2 linked regions of the Sus scrofa genome follow. Each later gene encodes a partner of the first gene's protein in a complex. Links are inferred from orthologs where the notes say so. Each region holds a gene or a part of one and is shown on either strand. Other genes may lie near its edges.

Region 1 (4,054 bases):
TAAAGAGAAAAATGTTAGTGACAGCCTCACTTAATTCTGGAGTAGCTTTTGCTCAAAGTCTACATAAACAGCTATTACATTTTTAAAAACCACACACTGGAATTCCCACCGTGGCTCAGCGGAAACGAATCCGACTAGGAACCATGAGGTTGTAGGTTTGATCCCTGGCCTCGCTCAGTGCGTTAAAGATCCGGTGTTGCCATGTGCTGTGGTGTAGGTTGCAGATGTGGCTCGGATCCTGCATTGCTGTGGCTGTGGTGCAGGCTGGCAGCTGTAGCTCTGATTAGACCCCTAGCCTGGGAACCTCCATATGCTGCAGGTATGGCCCTTAAAAGCAAAAAAAAAAAAAAACCAAAAAATAAAAAAATAAAATGAATTAAAAACCACACACTGATTCAAAATATCATGGTCTATAACTCTGATCTCAAACTTAGGGAGAAAAATAGTAATTCTTCTTACTTATGTCATCTCCCTTTGAAGTTTCTCCACATGTACCCCAAAAGTGCTTTTAAAAAGGGGGGAGGGAGTGGTTTGCAAACGAAGACACATGGGTATGCAAAAACAGAAGGTTTTTTAAAATCACCTTTACAGTTAATATTATTTGTCAATTATCAGCCTCCAGAGACACAATTAACCATAAAGATAACTTTTATCAATTAAGCATTAAACACTTGTTTGAAAAAACAGAAGTTTTTCTCCCATTTTGCAGCATGCTCATACAGCAGTAACCAAATTGGCACAATTTAAGTGCTCAAAGTATGTTACATTTTCTCCCTCAACTTATTATCACCTATTGATCATCAGCTTTCTGTATTAAATTCCAACTTTCTTTCCTTCCCAGGGAATCCTAGAGCAAAGCCAGAAGGGTTGGGGTACCCTCCTATGCTAACACCATACCCTTTATTAAACCATAAAGAGGAGTTCCCACTGTGGTGCAGAGGAAACGAATCCGACTAGGAACCATGAGGTTGCAGGTTAAGGATCTGGCATTGCTGTGAGTTGTGGTGTAGCTCTCAGATGTGGCTCAGAACCTGCGTTGCTGTGGCTGTGGCGTAGGCCAGCAGGTGTAGCTCTGATTTGATGCCTAGCCTGGGAACCTCTGTATGCCACAGATGCACCCCTAAAAAAAAAAGCAAAAAAAATTTTAAACCATAAAGAGAGATGCATTTGCTTAAAAAAAACATACAAGAAGCAAAAACAAACAAAAAGCCCCCTTAGGATCAGATGTGTTTAGAATTCATAATTTTTTAGAAAGGAATAGTCTGCATACATCCTGCAAATAACACCCTTTCTGCAGCAAAATATATGTACAATCACACTAAATGAGACACAAAAACTGTAAATAGCCTCAGAACAGTTTAGAACAGGTTCTGCCAAGAAATAAGTTACTAAAAAACACACATTTTCAAGAACTCTTTGTACTTGGGGATTGCAAAAAGGAGACTGTGGGCCTATTCCAAGACACCAGTACTATTTGGTGAGCCTTAACATAAATACCACCTATCAATGTAGGTCATTTTGGAGACATTAAAAAATGTAAATATTTGAAAGCCTCTGTGAAGAGAAAGATTTCTGCAGAAATGAGCAAGACCACCACCCAGCGTTCCAAATATTTCAAGGATAATCTGCCAGGAAATGAGTGGAGGATCCACAGAGAATCACCAAAAATTAAGATGAAAGGGGAGTCTTAAAGGTCATCCAATCCAATTACCCAGCTATTTGAATCCCTAATCATCTCTGCCCATCCCTTCCTGGCATGACCCTGGAGCTCAGCTCTCCTCTACTGCTTTCACCAACTACTTCCCATCTTACTCCAGAGCAGATTAAATTGCTCCACTTCCCTCCCATTAATCTTTATTACTGCCAAGTAGAGAATTTACTAAACCCTTCTACAGTTATTTAAATGTCTGTTTTCCTCTCAGACTCTGATTCCTTAAGCCAGTGATCATGTCTAATTAATTTTCGAGTCCTCGGCAACCAGCACATAGCGAAGAGTCAATAAACGTTTGTTGAACTGAATTAGATTTGTCCTGTAGTCCAGGCTCTGTCATTGCCTAATTGAGTGGCTTGGGGCACTCCCTTAAGCCTCTGCTTAGCTGAGAAAAGGGATGGGGGTGTCCCTAGATGACATCGTCAAGTCCCATTTAATTCTAGGAAGTTTCCGATTTACGAACTTCATTTTCTAGGCGCTGTCCAACTAAGCACATAAGGGAAAACCGCAGCTTAGGTGCAACAGGCCTGGAAGGGATCCCTCGGGAGTGGGCGCTGCTTCTCTACCACCCAGTCCTCTGCTTTGTTGTGTCCTCCGCGGGGAAAGGAAGGATACTCCCCAAACCCCGCCTCTCCTCCTATGAGCATCACCATACGGATGGGAGGGGACTCGTGCCACCCAATCGCGGTCCCGCTAAACCGCGCCCCCACAGGACAGACTGCCAAGCCCCGCCAATCAAGAGAAGAGGGATCGTTCTCTACATCCAGTCGGAGAGCGGTAGAGCCGGGCCTAGACACCGCCCCCACACGCGGGGAGGTGACCGTTGGGCCCAAATGGGCGGTGTCGCCAGCCAATCAACATGCTTCTAGACGTTTCAGCGACCAATTGCCGAGAAGAACGCCTCCGAGCCAGGCAAGCAGAGGGCGGGAATAGGTGCAAGCATAGGCCGAGGCCACAGTCGGGCCCACATTTTTCTGTTGGGTATGGACAGAAGCGAGGGTTGCTGAGCTAGGTTCAGGGAAGCGGGAAGTTGGAACCCAACCACTGTGAGGCGTGGCCAACTGCGTCACTCTTCTCAATCGACTGCCCTTTAGAAACCCGCCATCCCTCCTGTCCCGTTCCTCTCACCTTCCTTCGCGGCATTGCCGGCGGCTGCGGCCCGACGGTTCCGATTCGGGCAGCGGCGGCAGCAGCAGTGGGAACGGTGGCTCCGGCGGGCTCCGTGGCGGCCTCTGTAGCAGTCCCAATCCTGCGGACGATCCCAAGTGCCTCCTGCTTCACAGCGTCTAGACCTTTCTGCGCAGGCGCCGCGGGCTGAGGCGCTTTTTCCTCCACTTCCGGCTGAGGCTTGCGTCACCTGACGTTAGGGCCAGAGAGGATTCTGGGAGGTTTCCCCCTCCGGTGAGGCTAGCGGGAGCCATTTTGGAATTGGGCAGAAAGTGGCAGCGACAGTGGAAACTGGGGCCCGCCATTTTTAGTTAGGGGAATGGCATCCTCTGTAGGCGTGGGTAGCCATTCCTGTTTGGGGCAGAAGCCTGACAGTTGAAGTTAACAGTTCTCATCTTTACAATGGGCAAAATTTCCCTTCCCTTTGGTTTTAATTTCTGAAGTCGAGGAAAGAAAGCCCCAGAATCCATCAGGTTGCTGAGGTTTAACCCCTTAGTCGCCGAATTGGCTAAAGGACGTTTCCCTTTATCACATAAACTCAAAATTGGGAAGGGCTATTTTGCACAAGAAACTATTTTAAGAGCCATTCGGTGTCTCACAGTGCTGGGAATGGGGGCTTGTGAAAGGACAGAAAGAAGGTAGCGTCCTTCATGAAGAAGTTTCTTGTCTGGTAGAGGAGACATTGTCCTTGCCTTTAGCGAACCGCAAGTATGTTGATCCGTTCACTCGCGAAAGGAGACACAACCATTCTCCAGAAACTGTTGCTCCAAAGAATTACCAGTTTAGCTCTGTGGTGAGCACACCCACTTCGTCCCCTCATCCTGTATGGGTTTGAGAGCCTTGGGTGGCCCTCGGGATGAGTGTGTGTGTGTGTGTGTGCGCGCGTGCGCGGTACCAGAGTTGGAAAAGCATTGAACCCCATTAGCCCAAGTGACCTCTCGAAATCCAGACGCTTGAGTCAGGAGTTGGAGGAAGAGGAAGGAATATTTTTAGTAAAGCTGGAGCTCAGAAAGGCATTGATGTTAGCTGCCTAGAAAGGAGAAGTTGGTGGAAGATGTAAGGTTGGCAGAAGAGCGGTAAGAAAAGGCTGAGAAGTGAACAGCAAGCGTTGAGGATTTAACCTCGCTGGGAGAAAAGCCTTGTGTGGAGTAAAGCTTTGCCCAGAGACTGGGAGGA
Region 2 (3,518 bases), on another chromosome or scaffold:
AAGTGGTCGGTCCTCTCGGGCAGTGCCCTGCTTTAGAGGGAGAATCGTGGGGCACGCTTGGCCCTCATCTCCGTTCAGTCCAGGACCACACAGGTCTAGGGGGCCAGAGATCAAACAGAACAGGGGAGGGGTGTGTGGGTCGGGGTGGGGGGGCAGCTGCCAGGAATCTTCTCCCAGCTTCTCCGCCAGAGGCTAGAGAGTTTCCTGAGTAAGGGTTTAGGCGAAGGTTGACGAGTGTGGCCCCAGCTCCAGGAACCTTCCCAGCTCTGCTGCCACTTCCCTGTGAGACCCAAGGCCTGGCCTGAAGAGGCCTCACCTGATCACCTGGGACCAGCGCCTGGACAGGCCCGGGGGAGGCTTCTCAAGACCCCGCCCTTCCCACGGCCTGAGCTCCTTCCAAGGGCACAAAACCTCACACGTCTGACCCTGGCAAGCCCTCAGCCTCACTCAGACACTCTCCTTCTGCTCTGGGGCAGCCATGCCAGCTTCCTCCCAGTCTCTCTAACGAGACAAGCTCCGGCCCTTGGTCCCCAGTGGGTGCTTTCCTTGTCCTGCCCCTCACCTGGTTCAGTGCACAGCCTGAGTATCACTGCCTTAGGGAGACCTTCCCCGGCACCTCTGGCTTCGGCAACATGCTTGTACCTCCCACCTGGGGGTCAAACATCACAACACCGAGGGCATCCGCTTTGGGTGGAGGCCAACGAGTCTTCTCTCCAAACGCCCTGCCCTGACCAAAAGGCAGCCTGACGCTGCCACTCAGGTCTAGAAGCAACAAACGTCTCCAGGTTCGATGTAGGCACGTGGACCCTCCAGGCTCTTGACCGTGGTTCTGGAATCCTGGGCCTGAGGGCACTGCACGGCCTTGCCACTCTGTGTGGCCTTCCTACAACTGGGTGTGTGGTGACCTGGAGTCAGGAAGCCTGAGAGGGTCCAGCATCACCAATGCCATGAAGCCATTCCTGACACTCTTGTCCCTGCACGGGCACCAACTGCAGCCCCTTGGACACCACTTTCCGTTGTCTTTCCCAAGGACAAGCTCCATGGGGACAAGAACCAGTCCACTGAGTCCATGGCAGGGTGCCCGCAGCGCCCAGCACAGAGCCCAGCACCCTGTCCACAGTCGGGCTTACCGAAGGAACCGGCAGACGAGAGGGAGTCTGGAAGCTGCCACAGATTTTGGGCTGCCTGGACAGCCCTGACCTCTATGCAGCCGGGATCCACTCTGACCCAGCACCTGTACTTGGCAGTGCTGGTTTCTGGGGCCGGAGTGGGTGATCACCCCTCAGCACAGTCGAGGCAGCTCAGCTCTGGGGCAGGACCAGGTCCTTGGTCATTCACTCCCGTGGTGGCCCAGGGCCCCTCCTGCCCCCCAGGCTGAGCTGGCAGTGGCAGCCCCTCGCTTAAAATCACTCTCCATACAGCCATTTTTGCTGCATCTAATTCGACATTAGAGCACCATTTTCTGGGCTAAGCATTGGCCTCCTTGCCCTGTAAAGACTCCGGGACAGGGCCTTATTATCGGGCAATGTTCACAACTAATAAATAAGACCACTGTCAGAGCTTCTGTGAACTCTGATTTCCAGATCTATTAAACACGTGTGATGGTGAGAGCGGAAGAAGAAGACAGAGGAAAAAACCATTGGCCCAGGGTCCGAGTCCCATCAGACCTGGTCAGAGAGAATGAACACACGTCTCCGGGCAGCTGCCTTCCTCAGAATTGACACCCTGGCAGATAGGGGCTCAGGGAAGCTCGCTGGCTTGGGCCCTTCCTGCCCTGGCACCAGCCAGAGCCACTGGGGCTTCTGGCTTGTACCTGTTCACGTGCAATTTGCTCCTGAACCACCAACGCCCCAGCACTGGCTAAGAGTCCCAGGGAACCAGAAAGCTCCCCCAATGAAGGCAGGCCTGAGGCCCACATTCCAACCTCTGCCTCCGAGCCAGCCGCACGCGCCTAGGACCCTGGGCCTTCTATCTGGATACAGAGGGGAAGGGTGGGGGCCAGTGGCCCCTGACCCCACACATGCCCCACCAGGCCCCGAAGACACATATCCTCCCTGGGACCCGGCCCCTTGAGGGCAGGCACACGAGAGGTGGCCGGCGGGCAGGGAAGGCGCCTACCTCGACACAGATCCTGTTCGATAAGTTTCATCTGCAGGTGGAATATCTGCTCCTGGAGCTTGCAGATGGCGTGTTTCGTTCTCTCGCGCCTTGTCACCATGTAGCACAGATTTCTAACCTGAGGAGACACAAGAGAGATTTGCCACCTTACTCAGGGCAAGCACCCCAGACCTCCCAGCTCTGAGGGGGGGCCACCACTGCCTTGTGTGCCCAGGACATCCAGGAACCAATTCTCAGACCCTGAATGCACCTCAGCCCAGAGGAGCACGCAAAGCTTGGCCCTGTGGCCCCGGGCACAGCTGGAGCAGGCAGGGAGTGTGTCTGCTGAGCCCAGGCTGGCGACTCTGCCTTCCTCCTCTCCGCCTAAATGTCCTGGCTGAGCCATGCCATCGCCCAAGTGTGGCTGCTCTCCCGTGGACACACAGGGACCCAAGGTCTGCTGGGGCCCCACGAGGTCCCTAAGTGCAGCCCTCAGCCTCCTGTCCAAGGCTGCTTCCCATCAAAGAAACTCTTCCGCCGCAAGCACTCAGGCCAAAGCCACCTCCTACCATGACACACGAATGACTGGTGCAGGAGTAGCAAGAGCTCCGGTAGAGCAGCTCTGGGTGGACAGGCGGTTCCTAACACACTGGGGTCCAGCCTGCAGCTGACCCTGTCCACCTGCTGCGTGAGCTCTGAGCCAGGTCCACAGCTACTGTGGTCAAGGCCCCACGTGCACTTGGCTGCGTTCGCTCAGCCAGAGACAGAACTCCTCCGGGGAAAAGGCCGGCTCTCTCTCACCCCCAGAGGCCAGCCAGGAAGAGACTCTTAGGGCCAGGGAGACCAGCTTGCTTATTAGCTCATGGGACAGGGCCCACCCTGCAGCTGGTCTGGAAGCAGCCAAAGGATGGGCCACGTTGCTCCCTGTCCACCGGGCACCTCGCCCTAGGGGGCCATCCCTCCCCGGCAGCGCTCAGGGTATATCATGCCTCCCCTCCAAGACCCCGTCTTGTTCTGTGTTCTCTGCAGCTCAGTCACAGCCTCCAGCAGCAGGGACAGCTGGCCAGAAGCTGCTGAACTGGCATCCTGGGTCCCACCAGGGTCCAATTCCAGCTGGATTCCATCTTCATGTCCTTCAGTTTCCGGGGCACGACTGATGGGTTCCAGAGCCCCTGCCTATTGTCACGACCGTCACTTCTCCTGGCCTGGCAGGGGGCTGCGGTCAGACCTCTCTGCTGGGATGGGCCGCCTCCTCTCCTTCCTGAGCCTAGTTGTGAAGGAGACCCCGGGACACCTGCGCCAGGCTAGGCTGTGGCAGGATGGGCACAGCAGGGCTTCTCGGCAGCACTCCGCACCCTGGCCTCGACCGTGAATGCCAGGCTCTCCCGTGGCCAGCACCTCCCCAAGGGACAACCACCTGG

What was found. The genes of interacting proteins can lie anywhere in the genome.
Region 2: KAT7 (region 1) and JADE2 share a complex: the UniProt entries of both Homo sapiens proteins name them as parts of the HBO1 complex. The link is inferred for Sus scrofa from reciprocal best matches to the Homo sapiens genes KAT7 and JADE2.

What each region holds. Positions count from the first base shown.
Region 1 is NC_010454.4:25,969,919-25,973,972, reverse strand, and holds the start of KAT7 (histone acetyltransferase KAT7), read right to left. Parts: upstream 2,817-4,054; 5' UTR 2,208-2,816; coding exon 2,175-2,207; intron 1-2,174. UniProt on the Homo sapiens protein: Catalytic subunit of histone acetyltransferase HBO1 complexes, which specifically mediate acetylation of histone H3 at 'Lys-14' (H3K14ac), thereby regulating various processes, such as gene transcription, protein ubiquitination, immune regulation, stem cell pluripotent and self-renewal maintenance and embryonic development.
Region 2 is NC_010444.4:136,822,042-136,825,559, reverse strand, and holds part of JADE2 (protein Jade-2), read right to left. Parts: intron 2,237-3,518; coding exon 2,119-2,236; intron 1-2,118. UniProt on the Homo sapiens protein: Scaffold subunit of some HBO1 complexes, which have a histone H4 acetyltransferase activity. Acts as an E3 ubiquitin-protein ligase mediating the ubiquitination and subsequent proteasomal degradation of target protein histone demethylase KDM1A.